Linked DNA regions of Arabidopsis thaliana. The protein of the gene in region 1 interacts with the protein of each later gene in a pairwise test. Each region holds a gene or a part of one and is shown on either strand. Other genes may lie near its edges.

The links.
Region 2: the proteins of MSBP1 (region 1) and UMAMIT3 interact in a protein complementation assay, tested with the Arabidopsis thaliana proteins (one large-scale study listed by BioGRID).
Region 3: the proteins of MSBP1 (region 1) and AT2G33250 interact in a protein complementation assay, tested with the Arabidopsis thaliana proteins (one large-scale study listed by BioGRID).

Annotation. Positions count from the first base shown.
Region 1 is NC_003076.8:21,208,422-21,219,228, reverse strand, and holds MSBP1 (membrane steroid binding protein 1), read right to left. Parts: upstream 6,290-10,807; 5' UTR 6,109-6,289; coding exon 5,789-6,108; intron 5,015-5,788; coding exon 4,672-5,014; 3' UTR 4,618-4,671; coding exon of another isoform or gene 4,610-4,617; 3' UTR 4,387-4,609; downstream 1-4,386. Other genes in the region: RUP1 (Transducin/WD40 repeat-like superfamily protein), read right to left, coding at 1,174-2,331; MBD13 (methyl-CPG-binding domain protein 13), read left to right, coding at 7,595-7,678, 8,522-8,620, 8,756-8,902, 9,016-9,139, 9,247-9,447, 9,547-10,807. UniProt on the Arabidopsis thaliana protein: MSBP1 can bind to multiple steroid compounds with different affinities. Negatively regulates cell elongation and brassinosteroid signaling. May act as a coreceptor with BAK1 and enhances its endocytosis.
Region 2 is NC_003074.8:16,862,966-16,873,772, reverse strand, and holds UMAMIT3 (nodulin MtN21 /EamA-like transporter family protein), read right to left. Parts: upstream 6,741-10,807; 5' UTR 6,528-6,740; coding exon 6,274-6,527; exon of another isoform or gene 6,197-6,273; coding exon 6,080-6,196; coding exon of another isoform or gene 5,995-6,079; coding exon 5,721-5,994; intron 5,627-5,720; coding exon 5,471-5,626; coding exon of another isoform or gene 5,432-5,470; exon of another isoform or gene 5,392-5,431; coding exon 5,240-5,391; coding exon of another isoform or gene 5,212-5,239; intron 5,140-5,211; coding exon 4,935-5,139; 3' UTR 4,847-4,934; downstream 1-4,846. Other genes in the region: RUS1 (root UVB sensitive-like protein (Protein of unknown function, DUF647)), read right to left, coding at 53-229, 365-480, 560-758, 868-924, 1,026-1,301, 1,375-2,076; AT3G45880 (2-oxoglutarate (2OG) and Fe(II)-dependent oxygenase superfamily protein), read left to right, coding at 2,229-2,876, 2,965-3,140, 3,337-3,407, 3,514-3,644, 3,907-3,918; CRK4 (cysteine-rich RLK (RECEPTOR-like protein kinase) 4), read left to right, coding at 7,732-8,575, 8,666-8,800, 8,883-9,004, 9,178-9,388, 9,479-9,716, 9,793-9,949, 10,049-10,372.
Region 3 is NC_003071.7:14,092,096-14,102,902, reverse strand, and holds AT2G33250 (uncharacterized protein), read right to left. Parts: upstream 5,535-10,807; 5' UTR 5,450-5,534; coding exon 5,045-5,449; intron 4,720-5,044; coding exon 4,225-4,719; 3' UTR 4,152-4,224; downstream 1-4,151. Other genes in the region: AT2G33260 (Tryptophan/tyrosine permease), read left to right, coding at 339-1,882, 1,985-2,063; AT2G33255 (Haloacid dehalogenase-like hydrolase (HAD) superfamily protein), read right to left, coding at 2,545-2,709, 2,929-3,063, 3,189-3,249, 3,341-3,383, 3,775-4,108; XID (myosin XI D), read left to right, coding at 5,989-6,045, 6,336-6,458, 6,554-6,697, 6,871-7,016, 7,106-7,262, 7,372-7,430, 7,521-7,680, 7,798-7,947 and 13 more.

The DNA.
Region 1 (10,807 bases):
AAGAATCATCCAATCTTTGAAAAGCGATCGGACAAATTGGATATCCCGTATACCAAAGTTGGCAATGTGTATATTTAAAAACCCTATGCACAAAATTTCTTTAAATATAATCAATATTATAGTTTGTTTGTTAGGATATTTGTGTAATTAATCTTGGTAGGTGAGTCAACACTTCCCTCCTATTTGCTGCACATATTTACGTATAAAACTTAATTTTGGATTTTATTGATAATAGAAGTATACAATACATTTCGAATATACAAATAGGGTATTCATTTGAGAGAGGGAATATTTTGCATTTCCATATACAATATGTCGTGACCCAAATGGGTTTTGCTGGCTTTTCATGTTGAACTTCCAAATATATGTCCTGACTCTTACGTTTTTCTAAAATAATTAATCTCTGAACCACGTTATTTCTTTTTATATTTGCCTGAAGAAAAAGACTTTGTTGGTCGTAACATTTGTTGACAAGAGATGTAAAACTCATCTAAAGATGGGCTATAAAGACAACCTCTGATTGGATCAGCCCAGTTTCTGGGCTACTGGAGTCATGTCATGTGGCAAAGTTTTGTTGGCCACTATGCCGTTTGGGCCAGATTTTATTTTGCATCAAACCACTATAGTTACATAATTTTAAACAACCCTCTTAACCTACATGAATGTATATGTATAAGTATTGTCTGACAAGTTTTTCTTCTCTTTTTACAAAACTAAAGAACATGACATGATTAAATGGTCAATTGATTACAAAACATATCATATCTTTTAGACTCAAAATCAATTTAGTCGTCTAAAGCTCTAGCTTAGCTATGTAAAAAAAAAAAAAGGTCCATAAACTAAAAAGATATATAGAAATAGAATTTCTCATTCAAGTGGACATTTGACTTCTCCTTGTCATTTTACAAGTCAATATATACACTCTCCTTGATACATTTTATTTATTTATTTTCTAGCGCTAATTAAAACACTATTAGAATTAATTTTCAATTCCCTACAAAATGTGTATTCGAATTGCAATGATTGAAAAAGTTCTCAATATCACTTACAATTTCTTCTTAAGAATTGTAGTAACATTCAATCATATTAAAATTAATAACTATAGACAGTATAAAATCAACTGAAAAACAGTTTGTATTAATCATGAGCAGAAAAAAATAATATAAATACTGATTAGCTTTGTTTGCCCGAGAAAATTTCTAAAGCCCCATCGGATCCTCCGGCCACAAGTGTGCACCAATCTTCATCCACTTGTCTCAAACACACACTACTAACAAACCGTCGGTCAGATCCAAACCGGTTCGTATGACCCAATCCACAAACCCAAACCGGTTCCTCCCACCTCTTATCGTACACAAACACTTGGTTATTCTCTGACCCGGACACGACCAAACCACCATGTCTCCAAACCGACAACCCAACAAAGTTCCGGCTATTCACATGCCCTCGGTACGTGCGAACCACGCGCCGTCCATTATCTATATCCCATTGCTTCAAGCTCCCGTCGGTCGAACCGGTAACGATCGTGTGAGAATCCATGAATCGAGCATACGTCACCGTTTTGGTATGGCCGTCTAATACGATCAAAGGGTCCACTAGTCTTCTGATGTCATACACGTAGGCATTCCGGTCAGCACATCCAACGGCTATGGAAGATCCACCGAACGGATCGAACTCTACCGAACAAATCGCCGCTCCACCACCGGGCCTAACCGTTTCTTCTAACGTCCCTCCGTTACGTGGATCCCACATTTGAACCGTTCCGTCGTCGGAGCCTGACGCGCCTATAAGAGAGCCATTGTAAAGCGTGTAGTCCACGCTCCAAATCCTTCTACCTCCATGCTCGTCTCTCTCGGAAACAGGCACTTGTTTCTCCACGTCGTACTCGGTGACAACTCCGTCGTAATCTCCTGACCCGATAACCCGACCGGAAAAATCGGGTCTCCATTTGAGACTACTAAGCTTCGCCGGCGTGCAAATATAGCTCTCTGAAGCTGTTACGTGATCGTCACGTGACTCTAACAAAGAGCTTAAACGATACGATCTGATCTTTCTTGCGATTCCTCCCGTAGCTATGATCTCTCCGGTAGGGTCGAACTCGATTGCTCCGATAGCGTCTGATCCGGTGGATGCGGAGGAAACAACGGCGGAAAGAGAGAGATCCCAGTCGCATCTAGGAATGTTCTCTATGTTCATGATTGTGGGAGATGAAGAAGAAGAAGAAGAGGAGGTCATGATCATTGGCCATGTATATGAAGAAGAAGAAGATAGATCGTTAATGGAAGATCTGATGTTGTTGTTGGGTATCTCAGAGCAGAACAAAGCCTCCATGAATGAGTTACGACTAGTTTTAGTTAGGTCCACACGAAACTATATTAACATCACATTCATATGTGTGTGTGATGTGTATATATAAGCTATAAAGTGGTTTGTTTGTTGACGAAAACAAAAAATGTGGGGTATATTTAAATTTAATATAAATACATATACATAGGTATCATGGTTTATCTATCTTTTTTTTTTACTAGATGTAGAAGAAACCATGTATATAATTTTAGTTAAGCCAAATATTTATAAATGGAATTTGCTAAATTCATGATACATGGAACTTTTCTTTTGTGTGATATTAAATGGAAATGCATTCACGTTATTGGTACTTGCTGTTCTCCGAATGGTTCCAACTAGAAAAGTAATTAATATATCGAAATTAGCTACATGTATTTATGTTTTTGTTCAAACAATCCAAAAAGGTAATCTATCAAAATAAGACCATGCACATGGCTAAATAACCACTAGCTCCAAATATGATCTTTGAACATTGTGGTGATTAGAAATGGTTAAGAGTCTATCTTTTAGATTGATTATGAGTTATAATCTTCATCACTCCTTAAGTTAGCTTTTAGCAACAAAAAGTTAGAGCAATGGGATATGGATAAGTATGGGAAGTACACCATGTCACCAACTTGCCAAAAAAATTCTCTTAGAAGAAAAAATGTAAAGAAACTTTTTTTTTAATTATTGGGTGCAGAGAGACATCGCATTAAAGGAAGAAGAAATGGAAACACGAGATTAGCATTACGTTAGCGTTGGTTGGATAAGAACCTCAAATTTTGAAACCTTTCCTAACGATTAGTTTGGTCGTCGTAGATCTCAACTCCTACGTGGATAATATTACACCTCTTTATTTCTGATTTTCATTTTATTTTTGAAGACAAAAGAAAGTGAATGCAAAAAGTACACGTCGATACATCGACGGTTCATTACGTTTAGAATACTATTGCTATATAATAACTACATGTGCGTTGATATCTTGGTGCATGTTTGGCTTATTTTGACGATTTCAATATCTCGTGACACTTAAGACAATAATTGTATTCATCATGACAGCTTGTAAAACGTATCTTAAGCCCATATGTCTAGGTCCAACCCAATCCATGATCGCAGAGAAGGCGATAACCAAAATTCAGTTTAAACTGATCTTAGAAGTTTTTTTTTTTTGTCGACTGAAATACATACACATATATCAAAATGGTTCGGTAATCCAAATCGATGGTGTATATAGAACTATAGGTCTTACATACTTAAAATAATGAAAATGTAGTGGTGAACAACATGCTAGCTAACAAGTTAGCAAGACAATTCTAATTACAAGAATAACAGAAAGCCAGAAGAGAGCAAATATTTGAGTCTTGCAAACCATTCCAAATATGTTGAGAAAATTGGCTAAAATGTTCAGGAAGTTGTCAATTTTCTTTTAGCTTTGAACAGTCCATTGAGATAGTTACCGATGTACTTTGATGCTTGATCATAGGAGAAAGGCTTATGCATAGATTCCTAACTCTAAAAAGAGATCCTTCTATGTCGTTATGAAAACCGATCCAACCTATATTTGAAAACATATCGAGTCTCCTTCCATCAACTATCTATAAAATCTTCACATGTTTACCAAAAAAAATGAACTATTTTATAAAACATTAATTTGTGACTTCAAACTCCAGTTTTTGTAATAAAGACCGTTGTTCAAAGGTACTTGTCTTATGTTCTTGCAGCTGTGCAGTTTCTCAAATGTATCATTAAAAACCTTATCATTACGTGCCTTCCAATGTATCAAATAATCCATGGAAAGGTTAAATCTTTTGAAGAGCCAGGTTGTTCCAAGAAAAGAATATCCAAATTTGCAAATACCGACGACACCGAAATTTCCATAGTGCTGAGGAGATCGAGCGCACATATCTGCAATGCAAGGAACACTCAGAAGAACGTGGTCAACTGTCTTCTTTGCCCCAATTCTTAAACATCGAGGATCACAATTGAATACTCTATTTCCCAATTGATATGGATTTAGTGACCAACTTAAAAACTTCCTATAGTAGTAACCAAAAGGATGAAGAGAATTTACAAAAAAAGGATCAGGTTTAATGTTTTAGTTTCCAGATTAATCATGCAGATTCACAAACCACAAGTATGAACTCGACTACATTGTAATCATGCAATGCAACGCCTTCTGATATGCAGTTTATAAAACATTTTTTTCTTATCATTAATCAGCAATCTTTATTTTTTGGGAAAGTAAAACAAGATTATCATTGACACTTCAACATTAGAGATTCTACAATCCTTTTCATAAAACTGGTCTCTATGACAAATCAGAGCAAATCTTGGAAATGGGCTCTACTCCTCCTTCTTCAACACAGTCTCAGCAGGAGCATCATCACTCTTATCAACAACGGTCTTCCCAGGCGTTGTGGTTACATGAGCATCTTGCTCAACATTCTCTGTGGGTTCAGAGACAGATGCGGTTTCAGGTTCTGAACCAGCCACTTTGACAGTACCAACCTTAGCATACTTGCTCATGAACTTGTACTCCCAATCTTGAAGAGCATCTAGCTCAAAGGGACCAAGACCAGAGACATCCCAAGTCAAGTCTTTCTCCTCAAATGACATCTTTGCAAGAGCTCGGCTAGCGTCTTTCCCTGCAAACAAAGCATATGGTCCTCCTGGTCCGTAGAACATCCTACAAAACCAATAAATATCAAACCTTTCATCACAAACACAACATTTAATTTAAATACGCAAAAACCAGACTAGACTATCATAAGAAGATGATCAATTCATTATACTCAAAGATTAACAAAGAGTTTTCACTAAAGATCTCAACCACAAGCAGACATTAACAACAAGAACATATTACAACTTCCTTTGAATCCTGTTCTTGTATGAAGGAAGCAAAAGGGTAAATTAACACTATGCCACTCAAAAGCTCGATTACATAGAAAAGCACAACTTTTGTGAAATTGATTCTCAAAGTGAACAACTTTATGGATATCACAGCTTCATAGATAAAACTATGCAAAGTCCAAGTTGTTATAGAGTAAAACGAGATTTGAGGAAGACAATAAAAATCCAACCTTTCATTACAAACACAACACTTGAGACACTAAAACCAGTCTAAGAGATTGATTATACTCGAAGATAGAGCTAAGATATTTCACAACATGATCTCAATCACTAGCAAACATCAACAACAAAAACATATTCCTTTGAATCTTTCTCTTGTATAAAAGTAACAAAAAGGATCAACTTTTCCAATGTGCTTTTCTGAAATTGATTCTCAAAACAAAACTCCTTTGTGAAATTGATTCTCAAAGTGAACAACTTTACGATTCTCACAGCTTTATAGATCATAAAAGTATGCAAAGTCCAAGTCTTTATACGCTAAAACAAGATTAGAGGAAACAATGAATCAAACCCATAACCTAATTTCGCTTTTTAGATTCAGAAATTTCACCTGCTTTGTGTAACATCATAGATCTGATGTTTGATAGCCATAAGAAGGGGCTTTTGAGGATCAGAGCCATCGTACTGTTTAAGCTCCTCCTCCGTGATCTCACCGACTTGAACAGGCTGAGGAATCGGTGGCTCCTCCTCTTGAGCCAAGGATCTAGCTCTCTGATGTCGGTTAACATCATCGAACGGCGAGGCAAACCAGCCTGAGATGACTTGGTAAATGGCGAAGGCGAGAGCTAGAGCAGTGAAGAAGACAACAGGAGAAAGACCTGTGTAAGCATGGATTGCTTCTTTGAGAGTTTGCCATAGTTCTAACGCCATGGCTTTGAAGAGAGGATTCTCAAGATCAGTAGTGTGTTGAAAAGGCTTGTCTTTGTAAAAGTCAGGCTTTTGTGCTAGATAGAGAGTTGTTGGGTTTTGACTCTTGTTGTTGTACTACTTCCTTGGTTGATTGATTTTTTTCTTTCTTGGGTTTAAAAGTTAAATACAGCTAAAACGACCGAATAAGATTTTTTATATAGTTATTAGGGAACTAATCTTTATTTTTACCATACAATTTTTAAATAAAAAGTTATTTTCTTCTATAAGTAAAATACAAATGATAATGTAGTACATGGGATTGTGTTAGTGTTTTTGATATGTCAAAATTCGGGTTTCAAGTCTCTGCCGTAAAATAGATAGATTTTCGACGAAATAGAAAAGACATCAAGCTTAGATATGTAAATGGCTAGAATATAGTTAAGAAAAAAGCAGTAGAGTATTTTCTGAAAATCTTTGATGTTCAATTCAGTTATTTTCATCATGAAATTTGATAAAAAAAACTAAAAAGAATCATAACCTCGAAAAGAAAAATAAGTTTTAAGAAAAATAAGTTTCGTGGATGCAGAATTTAAAAAGAAAAAATCAACCACTTTTCAGATTTTAAAACACATTTTATAACATTGATATAACCTTCAATCCAAATAATTTATTAATACATAAACTTTTTTAAAAATCAAAGTTTCAATAATTAAATCACTAGAAATAGAATAAAATCATACTTCTAAATCTTTTAAACATGATATACAAATACCAAATTTAATAACATAAATTTAAACAAAAAGTAATTAAAACTATATATTAAGTAAAAATAAATTATATTTAATTCAGATTTATGAAAATTCATAATTGACTATATTAGTATTTTTCACTTTTCTTCTCATGATAAATCTTCCAATCCTAACATTTACAATAATAACATTTTTTTTTTCTTTTGGGTCAAAAAATGATAACAAAGTCTTAAATGTTTCCCAAAAAATATCATCATAAATAGATTTGCAATTAGATTTTATAACCAAATCAAGCAAATGTTTTTTAATATACAGTGTAAGTTTTTTTAAAATTGGGACAATAACAATGGAAGTAAACAACAAACAGTACAAGAGAATAAAATGGAGAAAATGAGCTAAATTGCAATCAGAGAAGAGAAGCGTTGGGCCAGAAGACTCGCGTGCTGGTGGACTGAGTTTTCTTGAACCTCTCAAATCGGGGAATCTCCATTGAAACTCCTCCACACTACACGTGTAAACCCTTTCTTCTTCTTCCCCATTAAATCCTACTATTTTTCTTATTTACCTTAGTGGAGACAGAACCAAATCACACAATCAGACAAAATAAAAAGGTTCCTTCTTTATAACTTCCGACGGTGTCCATTATCTGAATCCGACAATTCTTGATGGGTTTTGGCGTTTTGAGTTGATAAACCATTCTGAGTTGTGAATCAGGGATACAAGAGAGAGAGGAAAGTGGTTTTACGGTGACCGGAGAGATGAACGGAGAAGGGATCTCTGATGGTTTGTCGGCTGAGAGGAAAGTGGAAATTAGAGTGAGGAAGAATGGGAGAAAGGATAAGGTGATTTATGAGTTTTAAACCCTTTTCTTAATTTTGATTGTCTTTTGCATGTTTGGTTCTTGTTAGCTCCTTTTGTGGAAATTGTAGTTATCTTTATTGAAGTGCCAAATACTTTGATTCACTCTTAGTTTCTGATTGTATGATTTTGTAATGATGGAAAAAGGTGAAGTCTTTTGTGACGTTTGAGTGATTTTCTCTTGCATGCAATGCTTAGCTTTTAGGGAAAGATGACATGTGATCAAAAGAGAAGAGGTCTAGTTGATTAAGTGTCTGAAAATGGTCTTGACCTGACTTTTTGTTTTGTTATAGATGATGTAGTTTGATCAAAGCTTTGTTATGTAGCTACATTTTGAACTCAATTGATTTTACTTGGTTCCACTGTGGCTTAGAAAGCTCTTATTACTTGTGTGCATGATTGGAGATGTTTATTTTTTTTAAGTTTTTCTTGAATTTTTAAAAGTTTGTCTCTTAGTTTACTTCGTGTGAAAAGGAATTATATGGTTACTTTACTGAGATGGTTAGACATTAAGAGTAATAGATCTTGTGAAAATGAATTTGGATTGTTAAGTAACCATCTTCGAGAGAATACTGTAATATTCGTAAGCACTAAAACTTTGTACCTCTCGCGTATGCAAAGGGAAAGTTTTGAGATGAATCACATTTATATTGGCAAGGGTCTGGTATTAGGTTGTTCATGGAAAGTTCATAAGCACAGAATATCTGAGAGTTTTGTGTTGTTTATATGTTTGAAGACAATGTTACTTTGTTCTTTGTGATCCCTAAAAAGATTTGACATTTATACGTCTCTTAAAATGAAAAACTCTTTATGTTTAAGTGATACAGGTTATAGTTGAGAAATCTGCTGCTCAAGGTTTACCTGAAGGATGGATCAAGAAACTTGAAATAACAAATAGATCAGGCCGTAAAACCAGAAGAGATCCAGTTTGTACCCTCTACTCTCTTTGTGATAACATCATCTTTGATCAAAAGTACATTTTGTGTCTTTTCCACATAAGCTCACTTTAGAAAATCTCTTATGTGATTCTTCTTGGACATGTCTTGTTTTTGATTTTGCAGTTCTTCATTGACCCTAAAAGTGAGTATATCTTTCAATCCTTCAAAGACGCATCACGGTATGTTGAGACTGGCAATATTGGACATTATGCACGTAAATTGAAAGAAAGTGATATCGAAGATGATGATTCCGGAAATGGAAAGACTGTTGTGAGTTCCTTTCTCCTTTTTTGTTATAGTTAGTTTAATGGAAAGCACTATAGCTGAATGATTGAATTTTCTGTTAATCTTTTAACTCTTAACTTTTCTCTGTCTGATTTTAGCTTCGTCTGGAGTATGTGGACAAGAGATCTGCAGATGATGTATTGGAAAAAGAGAAAACGATAGATGATGTCAGAAGAAGTAAACGGAGAAACTTATCTTCTTCTGATGAACATTCCAAGAATTGTAAGTACAAAGTCTTTTGGGTTCTGATTTTGCCACTTGCCAGGGTATAATCATACTTATGCCGTGAGTTACGTTAAGTAAGTGTCAACATTCGATTATATATGCAGGTAAAATGACTTCTGACTTGAGCATTGTAACCTCACAAGTTCTTGAGGATTTGGGGAAGAAGGAAGAGGTGAAAGATCCTATCGAAAAGCAGCTCATAGCGAAACGGGTTACTAGAAGCCAAACTAAAGCCAGTACGACTGAGGAAGTCGTCGTAGATTTAAAAAGAAATCTGTCTTCATCAAATGCAAAATCAGAAAAAGGTGTGCAGATACCTGACTTAATATTTCCACCTGAGTAGTGGCTGAGATAACAAAAAGATTTGAGGACACCAATTTTTTCTATGTTCTCTATATTTGTAGATTCTGTAAACTCCAGTGTAAGGTCACAAAAACCAAAGAAGGAAGCTGTTATGAAGGAAGAAGAGGAACAAGATTCTTCTGAGAAACGGATCACAAGGAGTAAAGTTGAAGAGAAGAAGAATGAGCTAAGTAATAGTGTAGCCCGACGAACATCAAAACGGTTAGCTGGTATTGAGCTTGAACCAACGCCTGAACTGAAGACAAGAGCCAAAGTTCAACGAATAGTACCGCTTGATGATGAACCGACGCCTGAACTGAAGACAAGAACCAAAGTTCAACGAGTAGTACCGCCTGATGATGAACCGACGCCTGAACTGAAGACAAGAACCAAAATTCAACGAATAGTACCTCCTGATGATGAACCGACGCTTGAACTGAAGACAAGAACCAAAGTTCAACGAATATTACCTCCTGATGATGAACTGACGCCCGAACTGAAGTCAAGAACCAAAGTTCAACGAATAGTACCTCCTGATGATGAACTGACGCCTGAATTTAAGACGAGAACCAAAGTACAACAAAGAATACCTCCTGATGATGGCAGAGCCGGAAAGTGCAAGCAACCTGTGAATCATGTTACTACCAGCGGATCAAAAAAGACGGAAATACCGCTCAACAAGGAAGTAGCCCAAAGCTGTAATGAACAATCCTCTCAGAAACCACATGCTGCTGCTGCAACAAGCAACAATCGTGTGAGTGCAGATTCGGCAGTGGGAATACAAAATATCGGTAAAGCAGTAGGCAGGAAGCCTTCTAAAGACAAGAAGACGCTGAAATCACCACTGATAGTATATGAACTGAATCCAGTTTTTCATCTTGACGGTTACAAGCAGAAGGAAGAAATGTCACCTGTGTCACCGTTGTCTTGCCAAACTTCTGCAACAAAGTGTGAGAAGACAGCAGCAGGCAAAAGAGTGGGAAGGTCTAGCCCAAAGGCTAACCTTACTACCAGTGTGAAACCAACTCAGATCTCGCCTCTGAGATCACCAAATAAAGGAAAGCAACCACATCCTTCTGACAGTGGTTCTGCCATTCAAAGGAGAAATAAACTAGCTAATGAGTATTCTAACTCATCCGTTGTAAGAGGCACATGCTCAGAAGTGATGGAGAAGAGTACCAACAGCTTCTCCTCTGCATTTGACTCGACTCTTGCAGATCTTTGTAAAGATCCTTGCATTGCCTTTGCTATCAAAACTCTAACCGGAGAATCTCTGTGTCTTCTCAACACTCCAGCGATCTCTTCTAATCCCATTAACAACCA
Region 2 (10,807 bases), on another chromosome or scaffold:
TGAGAGATTCCGCTGGGTAATAATAATTATGAGAAGGTTTATCATTGCTTACGCAGAATCTTCCTTTGTGTTCTGTAAGGATGTAGCCTTCATTGCGATATAGATCAAACAGTGCTATTGCTTCTTCCTTGTTGTGGATAACATCGCTGAGCTTTGACCCTAGTTGAAGCCGTTCCTCTATGTCTGCGGCTGCTGCTTTTGCTTCTGATGATAAGACAAAATCTTGCAGCTGAATAGAGCAGATACTAAGAATCAATCAATCAGGTCATCAAGTATTGTTTTGTTCATCCGAGAAAGTTTTTAGATTTTAAACTAGTTGATAAGAGATCTCAGAGTGTATAATAAGGTGAATGAACACTTTTACCTTTTCTGGAGATTTCATGTTTGAAAACCGAACTGTTGGGAAGAGCGGTTCTTCATCGTTGACCTCCTTGATTAGAGGAGCTTGGCCGCTGATTAGATATTCACTAAAAACCAAACCTGCAAAATAAACAGAGATGTTATTTTCGTCTTGTAAGACGATTTGAATGAATTGGACGTCTGCAGGAGTGGGATTTACTTGCACGGTATGGGTTTAGAGTCCGGAGCTGGATACACTGGTAAGATTTGAGATTGGTATACATATGGATTGTAGTCACAACTCCAAATGCAGCAAGGGCAAGACTTGTAGAGGTTCCTATGCAATTGGCAACCACTATTCCTAGCAGAATACCCACTGACTTGCTCACCATTCCTTGAGCTTCACCCTTGGCAATTACCTACAAAAGAAGTTGTTGATGCATACACTAGAGACCCAGAATAGTTGAGAAAAACAAATAGCTGTTGATAAGTGATCAAGACTAAGGCCATATAAAAATTATTGTAGACCTCAGCAAAGTTCCTTTGAGAAGCAAAGCCAGCATTGAAGCAACTTCTAGTAGCAGCCTGCAGACAAGTAAATGATAAGTTCAATAGAAAATACTAAACTATAACAAATGCTGCACTTAGAGCTATGCAAATAGAGCTTTCAGAGACAAGAACAGAACCTGAATCAATGCAGCAGCAGATCGACCAGCACCAGCAGCAGCACCGATCATAACGAAAAACTGAGGGAAGACTGGCGTAAGCATCTCCATACCAAAAGCAGCGTTTTCAAGAAGATCAGCAAATAGCCTCCATCCTTTGGGATGAACATCGAAATGTCGTCCGTATTTCGACAACATTATCTTACTAAGATACCCAATTCCATCTTTAAGCACCCAATTGATAGCTGCAGCTGTAGGAATTGCTCCTTTACCTAACCCAACTGCATAAAGCAAAGACTACCAACACAATATAATGAACACCAAGTGTTTGTGAAAATGCCTAAGAGAGATGATAAGCTCAGTCGTCTACCTGAGTGGCAAGAACGCCGCTGATTTGACTAGCAATACCTTGAACACCTCTCCAGAGAGAGTAATCGAGGTAATCAGAAGTTACACTATTGGGAAAACCTTCAGGAAGAAGGAATTGAGTGAGAAGGTTTCTACATTGAGCTAGGAGATTCTCAGGAGTTAGAGAAGATGATAATTCAAAAGCAGATTCTTCAGAGACGAACTCATCTTTGACAAAATCGGGAACTAGTCTCTTCCTTTTACTTCCTCTCACTTCCCAAACCGTCTCTTTCACAGCATCTCCATTACTATCCGAATTTTGATCTTTAGCTATGGCGGACGCAGCTGATAATCGGAAATGGAAGAAGCAAGACAAGCCCAATAAAAGAAAGCAGAGGTATCTCAAATCGAAAGAAGAATCATCAGAGTTATCGCCGCCGCCGTCTCCTCCGCCACCGCCGCCATTTCCGTTATCATTATTACCGTTACTTCCACCCAAGTCTGCACTAAACACTGAAGCCAAGCAATTTCTCGTCGCGAGTGATTGTTTACTGAAATGATCATTTACATTAGCGACTAATCGGACGCATCGGGAAAACGAAGAACCCGATGGCTGCCGGAGTGATTGCCGTGGGAGAAATAAACGCTGCCGGGAAGAAACATCACTCCACCGCCGTGAAGCGACGACGGAAGCGTCACCAGAAAGTAGATAAGAACAACTCATCTTCTTCTTCCTCTTCGAAACAAGTTTATTTCAAAAATCCTATTTTTATAACAAAAACAGTTTTTTTTCTTTTTTTCTTTAAATATAAATTAGGGTTCTTGGTTATGTGTTAAAACCCCCAAATTTTTTGTCCCGCCAATTTTTTTTCGTCAATGGCTAAAGAGATAGAGAATTTATGGAGAGAAGTGAGAGAATTGAGCTTAGGAACTAAAATCGATCGTTTTGATTCTCAACCGTCTCCGGTGAAGTTTCTCCGAAACTACGTGTCTCAGAGCAAGCCTTGTGTAATCTCCAAAGCTATTACTCATTGGCCGGCGTTAAAACTCTGGTCAGATCCGGCTTACCTCACCGGAGCTTTGTCAGATGACGTTGTCTCGCTACATCTCACTCCTAACGGCTGCGCAGACGCCGTCACCGGAGATAGTGATCTTTGTTTCGCTTCGGCTCATGTTGAGAAAGTTCTGTTCCCGGAGGCTCTTAAGGTTGTTCAATCGTCGTGTAAAGGACTGAAGGTTGGGTATTTGCAACAGCAAAACGATTGTTTTAGAACGGAGTATTCGACGGTTGCGTTAGACTGCGACGGTGATATTGAGTGGGCTACGGAGGCATTTGGTTGTTCGCCGGAAGCTGTGAACCTTTGGATTGGTACTGATGACTCCGTGACTTCATTTCATAAAGATCACTATGAGAATCTTTACGCTGTTGTTTCAGGGGAGAAACATTTCCTTCTTCTTCCTCCGACTGATGTTCACCGTCTCTATATCGAACAGTATCCGGCAGCTAATTACTCTTACCACCGAGTCTGTGAGATTTTTAGATTAATAAGTTTCAATGAGTTTGGTTTCTTGTTAAGTGATGTTGAATGAGATAAAGTTTGAATCGTTATAGGATACTGATGCGTTCAAGCTTGAGGTTGAGGAGCCGGTTAGGCATGTACCTTGGTCTAGTGTTGATCCATACCCTTCGCCAGAGAAGGAAGCAAGCGAGAGATTGAAATTTCCGTTGTTCTTTGATGGCCCGAAGCCGTTTCATTGTACTGTCAAGGCTGGCGAGGTTCTTTACCTGTAAGAATTTAAATCCCATAGCTCCACAGATTGAAAATTCTCAGAAACTTTTTGGCTTAATTTGGATCACTAATGTATCTACTTCAGTCTTACCTTTGCTTTATAAGAAACAAAGATTAGAAATGGGTGATAGACCTACTACACAATTGGATTTTCTAGTCATGATTCTGACTCAGAATGGTTCTGAATTTTGCAGGCCAAGCATGTGGTTTCACCATGTTAGTCAAACCCCAGGAGATGGAGGTTATACCATTGCAGTGAACTATTGTAAGAGTTTTAGTTTTGCTTCCATCATCTGTTTGTCTTCAGTGGCAAGCCAGTATTTTTCGGCTCTCCTTGCCTCTAATAAGCTATGTATGCATCTAATTTGCAGGGTATGACATGCAGTTTGACATCAAGTATGCTTATTTTAACTTCTTGCAATCTTTATTATACAAGTCATCTTCACTCAATCCAGTTCTTTCTTGGAGAGAAGACGAAGATTCAGAATCCAGTGATGCAGAGGTATGAAGAGATGAAACAACATTTTTGCTGAGTTCAGGTTTTCTCAGTCATGGTAGAAAGCTCGGAGAAGATCTTAAATTTACATTATGTAATATTTAGACTAAGAAGATCTTAATTTTATTACTTGTCATGTCCATTGGTGCTTTCTCCACTATAACTTAAGTTTTGTCTCCCAGAATTATAAAGAACCATAAAATGATAGAAAAGCTCTGAAATTCTCTGAATTGTATCTCTTTTGTTGATGACTTCATTTTTGTCTCAGATTGCTCCCTGATTTAATGGTGGAACTCTGAAGCCATCATCTATATAAAAGCTCTTGTGGCTGTGTTTGGTTCAATATGTTCTTTAATTAAAATCTCCAGAGTAATTCAGATAAAAACTCTGGAACTGGGTCCATGGTCAACTTCTTGTCATGAATCCCATACATAACCTGCCGTTATTAACGCCATCCAGAGGATCGAACTCCTTGTTGCTTGACTTCCGACATTCTTGGGTTACTGGATTGTCTTTCTCCGTCTGGAACCGAAGAGCTGTACTCTTCTCTGGCTCAGAAATCAACTGACTCGTGATCGCTGGTGGGGCTTATAGAGCTGCAAGTTCACATTTTGAAATCTGGGGTAAGACCAACCTTGCAGTTTCTCAACCGTCTTTTTGATGTGTGTATCATGTTGGCGCCTGGACCTCGCCCGCCACATATGGAATAAATGCCCTACAGAGATTTTCGTTGCTCTGCAATTGTTATCATCAGCTGTATAGCCTGTATTGCAATGGATGGTTACCAAAATGCCACTTCTCTCCTTGTTGCTATGTTGAACAACATAATGTGATGTGTTCTAAAAGCATGTGCCTTGATTTCAGATTTAACATCAGGGAAGCAAGTTCACTCCCTCTGCCACAAATTTGTATCTTTCTTCCACTTATGTTAGTGATGGGGCTAGATTTTGGAAGCGAGTGCATGTGAATTCCATAAAGCTCGGGTTTGAATCAAATGGTTTGATACAAAGTGGGCTGATTGATATGTACAGGAAGTATAGGTTGGTGATAAATGCAGAGAAGGTGTTCAGAGCTATGGAGGGTCAGACAGTTTTAACTGTTGGAGGCTATGGTTTCGAGTATTATGCAGAATGGTTTTCGCATTGAGGACATCAAACCTGATAATGAGACTCTGTTAAACATTGATGTTTATATGCATATATATACTGTTAGAAAATAAAATAGTCACTCTCTCGTCGGCAAAAGGTTAAGAAAACATCGGAGCACCCAAGTAATTCAAGAAGCCAGAGTTTTTGTTCAATCATCGGATTTTGGTGAAGAGATGGGAGATTTTGTGAATAGATGTCCTATTGGTTTGTTTTTATGGTCCTTGTAGATCAAGGGTTCAGCTTCCTTTGAGGTGATCGGGATCACAGCCATTGCTGCTGCCGCTTTCTTTTCTTTGTAAGATGCCCAGGTGACACTATAAAGACCTGCTATGATTGCACATCCGCCTAAAATGCTAAGAGAGGAGGAGAAAAAAGCCTAGTTAGTTAGGAAACTTCAGACACATCCCGTTGATGGCTGAGAATAGCTAAGAGAAAAGGAGAGAGATATTAAACCTCCCCAAGTAGATAGGGCTTCCAAGGAAGATTCTGGACAAGAAAGCTGAGGCTGCGGGTTGAAGAGGATTATAGAGAGCAACCAAGGAAGGACCCAAGATCTTATTTGACCATGTCAAGAGACCATAGTTGAGAGCAGACGCGATTACTCCCTGCATAGAGGAAGCAACAGAGTTACTCAATTGGAGAAATTTAATGGATCAACAAACATATGGTGTGTGAAGAACATACTGCGTAGACAACTGCAAAGAACTCGGATCTTGTGAGACTCCAGTTCGTCGACTCATTAGTCATGAAAAAAGCAGATGTCACCATAAACATGGTCCCAAAGAAATACGAGTATGCTGTGACTGAAAGATTCGCCGGATACTTCTTTAAGACCGGAGCCTGATCATATATGTTTCAAATGCAAGGTCAGTCCAAAGACAAGAAGATATCTGAAACTGAAAGTGTGTGGATCATCTAGAAGAAAATGACATGCCTGAATAGCAAGAAAAGCAGCCATGCAAGTGCAATTCCCAATCAAACACAAAACTCCCAAATTCCATCGCCCAAGTCCATTAAAAAAGCCAGACATGAAGTGTCCAGATGTTTCAGTGTGTCTTGATTCACCATGACCCAAGGACTCAGCCTCTGTTTCCCCAAACAAAGCCAGTCCACGAAACAAAACCATCAGCACCGCCCCAGCGACACAAATCAGTGTGCCTCCTACCTTAGCTTGACCTTCTAGCTTGAATAAATTCAGTCTCTCTGTTCTGCAGCAACACACGAAAATGGATTGTTCTAGGTTTGGAAGAGTCAGAGAGAAAGTAAAAGAGAAAGACTGGATCGAGTCTTTACCCCATAATGAGAGCCAAGATGAAAGTAAAAACCGGGATCGACGGCTGAATGGCTGCAGCATAAGTTGGATTGGTGTAATTCAGACCAATGAGGAACAAAAGCTGATTACCAAATATCCTAATCACACCAAAACATCACTGTGATGATTGCAATCATGAAGATAACAGAAACTGGTAGAAGAAAACTTGAATTACCCTGTTAAACCAAGGAAGAAGAAAGCTAAGAGAAACTGTCGATTCAAAGGAGGTCTTGTTCTCTTATCACGGATATAAGCAAGAGGAGCAAGAATGGAGAGAGCAATGAGATCACGAAAGACACAGAAGACAAGTTGGTTTACACCAACGTTGAGAGCCACTTTGGTAATGACATGATATCCTCCGTTGAACAATTGCACACCGATCATCGCCACGTGAGCTTTCCACGCCTCTCTTTCCACCGTACTCTCCATTGGCGGTTTTCTTCTTTTCCGGCGATTCTTATTCCCGGAGAAAGTTATGAAAGCCAGGGTGAGAGAGTGGGTAAGAGAATTAAATCTTGAAACTGATTGTCACTTTGAATCTCTTCTGTCAAAACGTGTTTTTTGATCGAACGAGACAGGGGAACTAACAAATGATGACATCATGCTTCGGACACAAGCATGCATTGGGATTGATCCTATTTACCCGCCATTCCATTATCACTAATTTCCTTAAATTTTCATTTATAAATATATATAGAATCTAAAAATTAATTATAGTATGGTAAAATTTTATAAAAGTAAAGATACATAAATTCGAGGAACGAATACATAAATATAGAATGCTATAATTAATTTTCAGATGGTTCAAATTGGTCTTGGCGTAATTTATGTTAAGAGTTAAGCATCATGTTTCTAATATTATAATCGATGTAAATAATTATTTGAAACGATGTAAATAATTTTTTTCACTCACCAATTCTAAAGTCACTTATATAAGTGATGTAAAACTCATTTGCATCAATATGCAAATATAAAAAATAAGCGATTCAAAACGCTTTTTTTGTTGTACTGTCTTCTACAGACATTGATGTGTTGGACATCTTTAACTTTTGATTGTATGTGTTTAGATATCTCTGCATGCATTGGATTTGGTTTCATCGATATATAAAGTCTCATTTCTCATACTCTTTTTTGACCACCATGTGTTATGTCACGTATCAATTTTCTCATACTCATTTTTGACCACCATGTGTATATGTCACGTATCAATTTTGTCTTTTTTTTTTTAATTTCAGTATGACAAGTCGAAATACGATTTCAAACGAACGGAGATTTGGTTACAAGAAAATACCAAAAAGATAAAAATTGTGAAGTAGCAAATGAGTCTTTGTATTTTGTCTTCTCTTTCGTCATTGTCTTTGAGAGTGTTTATCCTATCAATGACGATGATTCTTTCTGTTACTACTTGGTATGAATTACTTGGCAATTTCTGATCGCCAACCCGTTCCTTTTGTTTGTTTCTAATGTGCATCATCATCTTTTGCCTAGGATATTTTTGTTATTAAAAAGGAAAAAAAAAAACTTCGAACCAACCTGTACTTCACGTTAATGTACAGTAGTCAAGAAAAATAAATTTATTTAATGCATGTGTGCTTCATGATCTTAGACACATGCAAATCGAAGAAACTCAAGCATGTCTTTCTTCTGGCTTTTTCCTTTTCTCCTTCATCTTTCATTTGCCGATTCCTTATCTCCTCTTTCAGCTCCAGTTCAAAATTTTATTCACCTAAACCATTCTTGTCCAAGTAGTATATTAACGTATTCAAGAAACAGCACTTACTTCACCAATCTCAAAACACTTTTGTCCTCTCTCTCTTCCCGGAACGCTTCATACTCTACCGGATTCCAAACTGCCACGGCGGGACAAGCTCCCGACCGTGTCACCGGACTTTTCCTTTGTCGCGGAGACGTCTCACAAGAAGTTTGCCGTAACTGCGTCGCCTTTTCCGTCAAGGAGACTTTATATTGGTGTCCGTATAACAAAGAAGTCGTGCTTTATTACGATGAGTGTATGCTTAGATACTCTCACCGAAATATTCTCTCGACCGTTACATACGATGGAAGTGCTATCTTGTTGAACGGCGCTAATATTTCATCAAGTAATCAAAATCAAGTAGATGAGTTTAGGGATTTGGTGTCGTCCACGTTGAACCTAGCTGCCGTTGAAGCAGCGAATAGTTCTAAAAAATTTTATACGAGAAAGGTCATCACACCCCAGCCTTTGTACTTGTTAGTTCAGTGCACACCTGATCTTACAAGACAAGACTGTTTACGTTGCCTACAAAAATCCATCAAGGGAATGTCTCTTTACAGAATTGGAGGAAGATTTTTTTACCCTAGTTGTAATTCAAGGTACGAGAATTACTCGTTCTACAATGAAACCGCCACTAGATCATCATCACCACCGTCTCTTCCGCCTCGCTCTACTCCTCAACAGCAGCTGAAGTTAGCTCCCCCACCGCTGATTTCAGAACGTGGTATGATGGACATAACTGCAACGTTTCTTTTGAGACACTCAAGATTTGTTTTAAAAAAGTGGTTCATACATGTAATCTGATGGAATACAGGAAAAGGCCGGAACTCCTCTGTAATCATCGTTGTTGTTGTTCCAATCATTGCTCTCCTGCTTCTGTTCGTAGCTTTCTTTAGTCTCCGGGCTAAGAAAACAAGGACGAATTATGAGAGGGAACCACTTACCGAAGGTATACATATTAAGACACCAAATGATAAACTATCTCCTTTTTATTTTCTTTCTTCACGAAGAATGTTCTCTATGTTTTACAGAAAGTGATGATATTACCACTGCGGGCTCACTTCAGTTTGATTTTAAAGCAATTGAGGCAGCAACAAATAAGTTTTGTGAGACTAACAAACTTGGTCAAGGTGGTTTCGGCGAAGTTTACAAGGTATTATTACCATTGTCCAAAACTGGTCCTAACTTTTAGAAGGCCACAAAGGAGAAATAATTGAGTTTGCTTTCAAAATATATATTTGATAAAAAAAAAAACAACACTTAATAAATAAAAACGAATATGTGTTAAACAAAAACAAAGTTTCATTTTCATGATTATTTTTGTAGGGTATATTTCCTAGTGGAGTACAAGTTGCAGTGAAGAGGTTATCCAAGACATCAGGACAAGGTGAAAGAGAGTTCGCAAACGAAGTTATTGTTGTGGCAAAGCTTCAACATAGAAATTTGGTAAGATTGCTAGGGTTTTGTTTGGAAAGAGATGAGAGGATACTTGTCTATGAGTTTGTTCCCAACAAAAGTCTCGACTACTTCATTTTTGGTCAGTTATGTTCAATATTTAGCCTAAGATAAATTTTTTACAAATTGTATACCATTCATTGTTTCTAACATTGTAAATTCATATGCGCAGACTCTACCATGCAAAGCCTGCTGGACTGGACTAGACGGTACAAAATCATTGGAGGAATTGCTAGAGGGATTCTTTATCTTCATCAAGATTCACGACTCACAATCATACATCGTGATCTCAAAGCAGGTAATATCCTCCTTGGTGATGATATGAATGCAAAAATCGCCGACTTTGGAATGGCGAGAATTTTCGGAATGGACCAAACGGAAGCCAATACTAGGAGAATAGTTGGAACATAGTAAGTTTTCCGTATATTTCCTTAAGGCACATAACATGCATGCTTCTATCAACTTAAGCTTTGAGTTTTGTCACAGTGGCTATATGTCTCCCGAGTATGCGATGTATGGCCAATTCTCCATGAAATCAGATGTGTATAGCTTCGGGGTCTTGGTTCTCGAAATTATAAGTGGGAAAAAGAACAGCAATGTCTATCAAATGGATGGTACTAGTGCTGGCAATTTGGTTACATATGTGAGTATATATAGAGCCATTTTTTATATATCGAGCCTTAATTATTATTTTACTTTATTTAATAGTGACCAAAGTTCTAAATACTAAAATGTTCACTAGACTTGGAGACTATGGAGCAATGGGTCACCGTTAGAGCTAGTGGATCCATCCTTTCGTGATAACTATCGAATAAATGAAGTTTCGAGATGCATCCATATCGCTTTACTATGTGTTCAAGAAGAAGCTGAAGATCGTCCAACCATGTCAGCTATTGTCCAGATGCTCACTACTAGCTCAATTGCTCTCGCAGTTCCTCAACGACCTGGTTTTTTCTTCCGGAGTAGTAAACATGAACAAGTAGGATTAGTGGATCGTCTATCTATCAATACGTCCGCTCTTTGTTCAGTCGATGATGCTTCCATTACTAATGTAACTCCTCGTTGAAAACAAAAGTCGCGATATATGATTTAGTCTATTGAATTAAGCATCGATCGACAACAAACAAAGGTTTAGTTGTTAATTAGCTCTTTCTTAGGTTTTATAGTCTCTTTATTTGTTAGCATTAATTATCGCGTTTTTATGATTAAGGTAAAGCAAATAAATGGTGTAACATATATTGTAAATGAAAATGTGTAATGGTTGAGGGAGGGAATCAAAACCTCTGAACAATGCATGTGAAAAATTTCTTCGTTTTAGTGTTTTTATTGAGTAACTAGATTATATTTACCAAATAAAGAGAGTTGAAGTAAGACACAAGCATATGAAATACTTTTGATAGAGTGTCTTGCAAGCAATATATATAAAATATAGATGTTAATATACATACATGTGATGTATGCAGATACATATTAGTCTATATATAATAATTTTTGTAGAGAA
Region 3 (10,807 bases), on another chromosome or scaffold:
TCACTATTGATTTGGCATAAGACATTTTATTTACATGAAGATTAGTTATTAGTTGAGTTTTAGGCTGTGTCTAGTGTTAGCGGTAATCAATCCAATGATTAGACCACTCCAATGAAAGGCAAATAATCAAAGATAGATATTGTACCTTTAATTTGTTTCTAAACCAATCCAATCCTTTTGGTTAGACCAATTCCTCATGTCTGGTTTATTAGACAAAGCCCTAAAAAGACACTAAAGAGTAAATAGGTATCTTCACAAGACAGCCTTAAGATTCCAAAAGTTGATACCAACAAAATCAAATCAGGTCCACTTGACAGAGAATCTTGCACATCGCATCAATGGCTCTTCCTTTTCGCCAACATTCTCTAGCTCCCATTGCAGCAACGCCCACATTTTCAAAATTCAATCTTTTTCCCCAAAATGTCCTTCGTACACTCTCTTCTCGCCTGAGTTTTCCCAAGTTTCCCGACTGTCGTCATTTTCAGAGTTCGCCTCCAACCCAATTTACCAAAGATTACCGGAAACCCATTTCGCAGAATGGCTCTCTCTACTCACCTTTAGTTGTCAAATGCAGCGACCACGATGAGCCTCACTCAACTATCGTGTCTTCTGAGTTCGTCAAAGATGAAAAGTCGGAGACTTTAGAAAAAATGGATGATTTGGAGATTACCCACGAAACGAAGAAGGGAAAGAGTTTTTGGGCTGCCGTTAGTTTGATCATCGGAACAGCCGTTGGTCCAGGAATGCTCGGCCTCCCAGCTGCAACTATCAGATCTGGTTCTATCCCATCGACCATTGCTTTACTTTGTTCTTGGGTTTACGTCATTTCCTCTATTCTTCTCGTGGCTGAGCTCAGCTTTGCAGCAATGGAAGAAGACAATGCAGCAGAGGTTAGTTTCACAGGACTTGCAACTAAATCCTTTGGGAACAAATTTGGAGTTTTCGTGGCTTTTGTGTATGCTTCACTAAGTTTCTCTTTGATGGTTGCTTGTGTCTCGGGTATTGGCTCCATTGTGTCTCAATGGTTTCCTTCAATGAATCCATTTTTGGCCAATGCTATATTCCCTCTAGTTTCCGGAATCTTGATCGGGTTTTTCCCTTTCAATGCCATTGATTTCACCAACAGGGGTCTCTGCTTCCTCATGCTCTTCTCTATAACTTCACTTGTGGCCATTGGTTTATCTGTGGCTAGGTCCAATGTGTTAGCCTCATTTGGTCAATCATGTTGGAAAGTCTCCATGGTTTTACCCGCGGTTCCTGTTATGGTACTGACACTAGGGTTTCATGTGATCACGCCTTTCATATGCAATCTCGCTGGGGATTCGGTTTCAGATGCTCGGAGAGCCATTCTTGTAGGCGGTGTTGTGCCATTGGCTATGGTGTTGTCTTGGAATCTAATTGTTTTGGGGCTTGCAAGAATCACTGTGCCTGCTGCACCTTCTTCAACCATTGACCCAATCTCTCTTCTTCTATCTGTGAATCCTTCTGCCTTATCTGCTGTTCAAGGCTTTGCTTTCTCAGCCTTAGCTACCAGTTTAATCGGATATGCTGTTAGCTTCCCGAAACAGCTCCTCGACACATGGAAGCTTGTGTCTAAGCAATCAAATGGAAATGGAAGACTTGGGTCTGTAAGTTTCTCATCAAAAGAGCGTGATAGGAGAACTAATGGGAGAGCCTCATACAATGAACCAGCAAGAGCTCGTGATGGGTTTGAAGCAGTAGTGATGCTATTTGTCCTTGGAGTTCCAGCTCTAATTGCAACATTCTTTCCCTCAACGTTCTCGAGAGCTCTGGATTTTGCCGGTGTTTATGCAAACTGTTTCCTCTTTGGTGTCCTGCCTCCTGCAATGGCTTATATTCAACAGTCCAGAAAGAAGCTCAGGTAACTTCACCCTACTATACAAAACATTCTCTGTAGTCCTCTGTTTCTTCATTGGAACTATCTATGGGATTCATATGAAACCAAAACCTTCTGATTTTGCAGGCCATGGGTTCTTCCCGGAGGCAACTTTACCTTGTTGATCTTATTTGCAATCGCCATTATTCTGGGAATATGGCATTAGATCACCATCAAATACAAATGTTTTGTTTGTATCATGATTCTGCGAAGACATGCCATAATCTGACCGTGCTAACCAGACGCTAGGGAAGCAAAAAGACCCCACTGGGACCTTCACGAAGATATATGCATTCATTGGTTCCTTGTAGAAACACTAATAGCGATTGAGAAGTCTTTTTCACTTAGCAGGATCACATTTCACACTAGATCTATCATTGTTGGAAGACTTACTAAGAAACAGATTCAGCCATTCAGAGACTAGAGATGATATTAAAAATCTTGAAATTTTGGATTTAACAAACAACAATGTTTGCCCTCACACACATGTTCGCTAGACGACCATGCAGGGACACAATTGTGCAACTTAAAGATAGCCAGTGCATAGAATTCCGTGGTTTGACATTTATGGCTATCCTGAACAGATACTGTGTTGAGTAGGACACTAATTTGGTCACTGAAACTACAAGATGAGGAACTTGGAAAAACTACGGGTTCAGGTCGAAGTTCGTCTCCAATAGGTTCTGGATTTTGGACAAGGAATCAACCTTAAAATCAGGTTGCAGACCGGAAACAGAAAAATCGTCTGGTCCATACCTTCCGGTTTCATCTAGCAAGCAAGTGAAGGCTCCAGCTCGTTTCCCACATGCTATCTGCAGAATCGAGAAAAGAAAGATCGATTACCAGTTGTAATCTTCAGTAAAGATGTGAGAAAAATAGTCTGAAAAGTTGGTAGGCATCCTTTCCACATAGAAAATCTTTAAGCAATGGCATGAGAAGATCCATTGTTTAAGCTTCTTTCATTGCATTGCTTATCGATTTGCTATGGAGAAAGGGTTGACCAAAGGCTTGTCATCATGTCTGTCACTCACATCATCTTTTAAGCTGTCACCAACCATCATGACTTCATTAGGTTGGATGTCCCATGTAGAACATATATGCAACAGCGGGTCTGGGTTTGGTTTATATGGACGAAACTCTCTGCCTAGTGCTGGAGAAAAGATAACCTATACAATGAAAAATAACTGTAAGGAACTGCCTCAGATTTCTTCTCTCTGATAAAAAAAAAAGAATGATCCAGCTAAACCTATCTCAGGCAGCTGTCAAAATGTCTTCAATTCAACATTCTTACCTCAAAACGTTGATGGAAGATGTCGATTGCCTTTTGAACATTGCGTGTAATTAGCCCCCTCCTATAAAGTAAAATACAAAATGTAACAACAGTCAAGTTATCTGAACAAGAAAACAAAAAATCATAGACAGAAGTATCTGAAAACCACAGACTTTATCTTTTTGGAATCAAGGAAGCCACATAGTTCAGCAGTACCTGCCACATAAATGATCACATATCAGAAGAGAATTAAACCTCTAAACGCCAAAGAAACACAGTACTCCTTCTAGATTTTCAACTGCTAAATCATCTTATAGAACTCAACAGCATAAAGTCAATGACCAGTAAAGGAATGATCTCAAATCGTGATGTGGGGCTCTAAGACAAAAGTCAAACCTCCGTTAGACCATAAAGTCTTCACTTTTAACAAATGTTCATTTTATCTTTCAGCCTTGAATTTGCAATCTTTTCTCATCTTTAACTCTACGAAATTCTCAATCTTTAACCCATTTTACGATAGATTATCAGACGAAAACCCAAATCCTTAACACTTCCTCAGCGCAAACACAAAATCAAAAATAAAAAAATAAAGCAGATGAATCCGTACCAGGCATGATTTGAAGCTTATCTATTCCTTGTTTCTCATAATCAGCAATGATTTCATACGCCTTCTGCTGTTTATCAGGACTCCACGACTCAATATGATGCAGAATATCAATCCCACTAGGGCTCTCTGCTTTGATTCGCTTGTAAGCATCTTCACCAAGAACAGCTCTATACATTGCGGCGAAATCGATGACCGGAACAGTCAGGGTTCCGTCCATATCGAATACAACACCTCTCAGGCGAGTTTTAGCGTTCGTCGTTAAATTCGCCATGGAAATCGAACAAGAAGGTCTGAGAGTGAGAGAAATAAATGTTCTTGATAAGAGGAAAGTCATGGAAAAGAAATGGTGATGCTCAAACTGAAATTGAGGCTCATAATTATTCTCTATTTTTAACCAATTTCGGTTCGGTTTAATTTGAACAACTTGGTTTGTTTTGGTTTAGTGGTTTTTCACTTGAGCATGTTTGTGTATGTGCTTAAGAATGGAAACAAAGACACCAACAATCTCAACAATAATGGTTCTGCTGCCTTTTCTCTTCTTACTCTCTTCCTCTTCGGTAACGGTTTCTTCTTCGGTTCGCTTGTTGGCCGTTCGGGAATGGTGGTACCAAGCCCGTCTAACTCGTCCCACCCACCAAACTTAGAAGCCATTCCAGCTGAACTACGGTTAACTCCACGGCCATTGACATTGTTTCTAACGGTTGATGGGTTGTATCGAATCCTGCTACTACTTCTCTCCACTTCTTCTTCTTCTTCCTCTATCCCGAATTGATTTGCTATTGATGTACCTCTGCGTTTATCCCAACCAATCAACTTCTGGAACGCATAAAATAACAATGATGGCCCGATTGCTACGGCTAGTGACACGAGGAAAGCTTTGGGTCCGGTGCTGAAGAAAAGCGATAAGATGATGAATGGGAGGAGATATCCATACGATTTGAATGCCTACAAAGTGAACATAAACCAAACACAATAAAGATCCCACACCAACAATAAGAGAGCAAAATCTGGTGTATGCAAATAAAATGCAGCTATATATCAACAAAGCCGTTTCTCTTATCTTTGAGCAGAAAGACACTATCTAGTTAGAAATCAAAACTAGTTCAGATTCACTACACAACGATATTAACTGTTTCTTACATGATCACCATAACCATTACCAAAGAACAATTTTGATACTTTAATCAATCAGCATTTTCAATTAGCAGTAGTAGATTCCCGGCTAATTTCATAATTAAGGCTTAAAAGATGCATGATTGAAACTAATTACCTTTAAAATCCAAACATTATCTACAATTTCCTCTAAGATCTTCCACAGGTCAAAATTAGCACTACCAATTCCACCACCACCATCATCTTCATCATCATCGTCTTCAACATTATCTTCAAAAAGTTCTTCCCATAGCTCCCGCCGCTTCCTTCCCCTTTTTCCCCTTTCCGTCAAACGGTATCCCCTACCGTCATCAGCGGCGGCGCATATTTTATAGCTGAATCTCCGGCGGTTCAGCTGAATTATCTTCGCCGAAGTTACTCTAGAGCATGAGGAAGAGAAACAGAGGAGTTGAGAACGAGAGGGAGGATAAGATCTAGGGTTGTGGAATCGCCAGACATGGAGGTTTGAGAAACTAAGATAAGTAGAAGCTCGCGGTAACGAAAGAGCTCCTCTATCCGCCATTAACGTCTGGCGAAGCGAGAACAGTGAAGAAAATGCTCTGCTCCATGTATAGACACACTCAACTTGCGCCACGTTGTCATCATCTCCTCCATTAGAATCGAATACTATAAACCGGCTTGGTCCAGGAGAAATGTTAGAACTGAAATCCGGTATAATTGCAGGGGTAATTTCGAGATCATCAAATGTCTGACCTGACACGCCTACGTGGATTCTCTTTTCTCTTCCTTTTTCCAGAAACGAGGGAGAGAGAGACGAAGCATCAAACAAGGCAAAAACAAAAAAAAACCAGGAGAGAATATTCCGAGGGAAAACGCGAGAAAATTTCTTACGTTCTGCGAGAATCTCCAGCTTTCCTGGGGAAATATTGGAAGGCAAAAGCCGAAGGGTTTAAGGTCTCTGTAATCGTCGGAGAAATTTGAAATATCGTCCGTAAAACGTGAATGTAGTCTTAATCTTCCGCATTTATAACGTCGATCAGAGATTTTGAAGCTAGTAGAGAGAGAGAAGCGTTTTGTGTTTGATTTATGGTGTTTGGATCCATGGTGTGGAAACACCAGCTGATTGGGTTCTCAGGGATTTTTTCTAATGTTTCTCCCGTTGGAAATCTTTATTCGGGATCATTTCTAGGAAAATCAGACCAGATTTGGCCGTGATAATGGTACGAGTCTCTCTTCTCTTATCTGCATTGCGATTTCTCCGTGTTCTTCATTTTTACCTTTTTTTTTTTATCTTCTGTAACCATAATTGCTATTTGAGCTGATTTTTATGTTGCCCCTTACATTTTAGATTTCATTATAAGATGTGTCTAAAAGAGAACAAAAGAACCAGCTAATGAAGCTTGACAATATTTTTTTTATTTGTTTCTAATATATTCTACTTTAATCAGGCTTCAGTGAAGGTAACTGTGGGGTCACAGGTCTGGGTGGAAGATCCAGATGAAGCCTGGCTAGATGGAGAAGTTGTGGAAGCTAACGGTCAAGAGATCAAAGTTAATTGCCAAACCAAGACGGTTAGTCCCTTTTCTCCAAAGCAACGAGACAATGTGTTAGTTCTTAAGGTACCTTAAGAATACATTGCTCATATTTGTGATGCATTTGTTTGTAGGTTGTGGCAAAGGTTAATGCTGTCCACCCCAAGGATCCTGAGTTTCCTGAGCTTGGTGTGGACGACATGACAAAGCTTGCGTATTTGCATGAACCAGGGGTTCTTCTCAATCTAAAAGCCAGATACAATGCAAATGAAATATATGTACGCTTCAGCATGTAACTCTTGTCAGTTTTCCTTCTTTCATTACACCCACTTATGAATTCTATGATTATCTCTACCATTGTTTTGCTGAAAATTACTGCACAGTTATAGCAATATCATTAATATTTCTCTGAAGTGTTTGTAGCAAGCTAATTTCTTCTTGATGGTTACAGACATACACAGGGAATATACTGATAGCTGTGAATCCCTTTAAAAGATTACCCCACCTATATGGAAATGAGATAATGGAGCAATATAAGGGCACAGATTTTGGCGAGTTAAGCCCACATCCTTTTGCTGTTGCTGATTCTGCATACAGGTAATCTTTTGTTGCATAGATGAAACTTTAACTAATGTTGCACTATCATTTTTTTTTGGGCCTCACCATCATCAAGAATATAAATTTAGAAAAATGATCAACGAGGGAGTAAGCCAGGCGATCTTGGTGAGTGGAGAAAGCGGTGCTGGGAAGACAGAGAGCACAAAAATGCTCATGCAATATCTTGCATACATGGGTGGAAAAGCTGAGAGTGAAGGACGATCTGTCGAACAGCAAGTTTTGGAGGTAGATAGTCTGTTTACAATGCATCTACATTCTTACTAGAGACAGACTCACTGAGTTTCTCTCTGTAGATATCTTCTTATTCTTCTCGTATTATGATCCTGTTATGCAGTCAAATCCAGTTTTAGAAGCTTTTGGTAATGCAAAAACCGTCAGAAACAATAATTCAAGGTGGAATGTCATTCACATTTCTTGATTTTTCAAGTTTATGTATGTTCTTGAAGTCAACCTTGACATATGTAGGCAAATCTCATATTGCAGTCGTTTTGGTAAATTTGTGGAGATTCAGTTCAATCATATGGGAAGAATCTCAGGAGCTGCTATTAGAACATATTTGCTGGAGAGGTCACGAGTTTGTCAAGTTTCTGATCCTGAAAGAAACTATCATTGCTTTTACATGCTTTGCGCTGCGCCAGAACAGGTAAACATGGTCCCTTGTATGTTTACATCAGGTCGAACATATGAAGGCTCTGTATGTCCAGTGCTTGGCCATATATGGGATTCATACTGAAAACTAGCTTCTGTTCTGAAATTTCAGGAAACTGAGCGGTATCAGTTAGGGAAACCAAGCACATTTCACTACCTAAATCAATCGAATTGCCATGCATTGGATGCAATTGATGATTCCAAAGAATACCTAGCTACGAGGAAAGCTATGGACGTTGTTGGAATTAGTCCTGAAGAACAGGTACCTTTTGTTTTTTCATTGACATGATCAGCAATGAGGATAACTCTTCTTACATTTTACTTTTGTAGGATGCAATCTTTCGGGTAGTTGCTGCTATCCTTCATCTAGGAAACATTGAGTTTGCAAAGAGCGAAGAATCAGATGGTGCAGAACCCAAGGACGATAAATCCCGGTTCCATCTAAAAGTTGCTGCAAAACTTTTCATGTATATGCTTCACTATTATGTGTTCTCGGATTACAGGTTTCTTGTCAATGGGAGGTAGAACCCTGATTGCTCTTTTTTGGGTAGGTGTGATGAGAAAGCTCTAGAGAACTCCTTGTGCAATAGGGTGATGGTGACTCGTGGTGAAAGCATTACAAAGCCTCTTGATCCCGGTAGTGCAGCACTAAGCAGAGATGCTCTTGCCAAGATTGTCTATTCTAAATTGTTTGATTGGTAGGTTTACAATAACGGCTTCTTTCTTAAGGGCTTATTATCAATCCTGGGATATAAAGTTTTGAAAGCTTACAAATTTATTGCTCCCAGGCTTGTGACTAAGATAAATAATTCCATTGGCCAAGACTCAAGTTCTAAGTACATAATTGGAGTCCTGGATATTTATGGATTTGAGAGTTTCAAGACAAACAGGTGCTTAACCGGTACGCTACCAAAATGTTCAATTTCCTTTTTCGAGTTGATTTATAAACTCCCTATACTGCTTCCTGCATGGCTGCCTATATGCTCTCTGATTTAGTCTTCTTCAAACATTGAGCAGATGGTTTGTTATTGGATTTCTTAAGTTTTAGCTACTTAGCTAGAGATTTTTTTCTGGTCTGGGACAATATTATTATTATTCTCATAATTGATTGTTCCTAGCTGTTATATGGTTCAACTGATAGCAGTTTTAATGCTTGTGTTACAATTACAACGTTGTCTTTCTCTTTTCACATTTTGCAGTTTTGAACAGTTTTGTATAAACCTGACAAACGAGAAGCTGCAGCAGCATTTCAATCAGGTTGGAGACTGAGGTTCTTTTCATATTTTTGATTCTTGATTGATCTAATTTTATGCTGATCCATATTCATGCATATGTTCCTCTCTTCTACAGCATGTGTTCAAGATGGAGCAAGAAGAATATACTAAAGAAGAGATTGACTGGAGTTACATAGAGTTCATTGATAATCAAGATGTCCTTGACCTTATAGAAAAGGTAAGTAGTATCACAATGAGTGGTGTTGGAATCTTTATTCCGTTTTCTAGCAGTTCCAGTTTCATACATATTTATTGATTTCTAGCACCTAATACAGAATTGTTCAATGTCAGAAACCTGGTGGAATTATTGCTCTTCTTGATGAGGCTTGGTAATGTACCAAAGCGTCATGTTCTTTCTTCACTGATTTCTTTTTACTTCTTCAATAAGTGGCTGAGTTTGTGTATGCCTCTACAGTATGTTCCCAAGATCAACACATGATACACTTGCAGAAAAGCTATACCAGACATTTGGTAGCCACAAGCGTTTTACCAAGCCAAAATTGGCTCGTACAGACTTTACCATCTGCCATTATGCTGGTGATGTTAGTGATTTAATTTACTACAGAAGTTTGTGCTTAAATGTTTGTCTTTAAGTAATGGCAAAAATGTCAATGTGGTGTAATGACTGTATTGATGTTCAACTTCAGGTCACTTATCAGACTGAACTATTTTTAGACAAGAACAAAGATTATGTTGTTGGAGAACATCAATCTCTCATGAACTCTTCAGATTGTTCCTTTGTCTCATCGTTGTTCCCAAAATCGCGAGAGGAATCGTCCAAATCATCAAAGTTCTCATCAATAGGCTCTCAATTCAAGGTCTACTAATGATGTTAAATTCATTAAATTCTTCTTATATTGTTTTTCCGGTGATTCTCACCATGTTATAAATTACAGCAACAACTACAATCTTTGCTCGAGACGTTGAACACCACAGAGCCACACTACATACGTTGTGTTAAGCCAAATAACGTTCTTAAGCCAGAAATATTTGAGAACGTTAATGTTCTGCATCAACTTAGGTGTGGGGTAAGCTTAATGTTTCAGAGAACCATATACTGTTATTTTTTGCAACTGCGACAATTTTTCGGTCTTTACGTGATGTTGTGAAGCATACTTTTCTGACCTCAGGGGGTCATGGAAGCCATTAGGATTAGTTGTGCTGGATATCCCACTAGAAAGCCTTTCAATGAATTTTTGACCAGGTTCCGAATTTTGGCCCCAGAGGCAACGGAGAGAAGGTAGATTCTCCAATACATATTTTGCAGTTAAATTCTTAGCCTAATGTTAAATAGACGTTAAGGTTTTAGACTGATATAAACCTTTTCTCTCTGGCCTTAATATTCTATAGCTTTGATGAAGTTGATGCTTGCAAAAAGCTTCTAGCAAGAGTGGACCTTAAAGGTTTTCAGGTGCGTTTCCATATACTTATCACACAGTTCCTGGATTGCTGCCTTTACATTGTGATTTCCAAAAAAAGAGATACAAAGGGTACAGGCAATGCCACTTCGGATATATTGCCTGGTTACACTGCACAAGATTCATTAAATTTTTTAAATCACAGATAGGGAAGACAAAGGTGTTTCTTAGGGCAGGTCAGATGGCAGAACTGGATGCTCACCGAGCGGAAGTTCTTGGGCATTCAGCAAGGATTATACAGAGGAAAGTCATTACGTATCTGTCTCGCAAAAAATATCTGCTGTTGCAGTCCGCTTCAACTGAAATCCAAGCCTTTTGTAGAGGTAATACATGTTCTATGCGATTGCTCGTCGGGTAGATTATTGGCGTCAAATATAGTTTCATGTCTAACAAGGCTTCTCCCAACTCATTTCAGGACATATTGCACGCG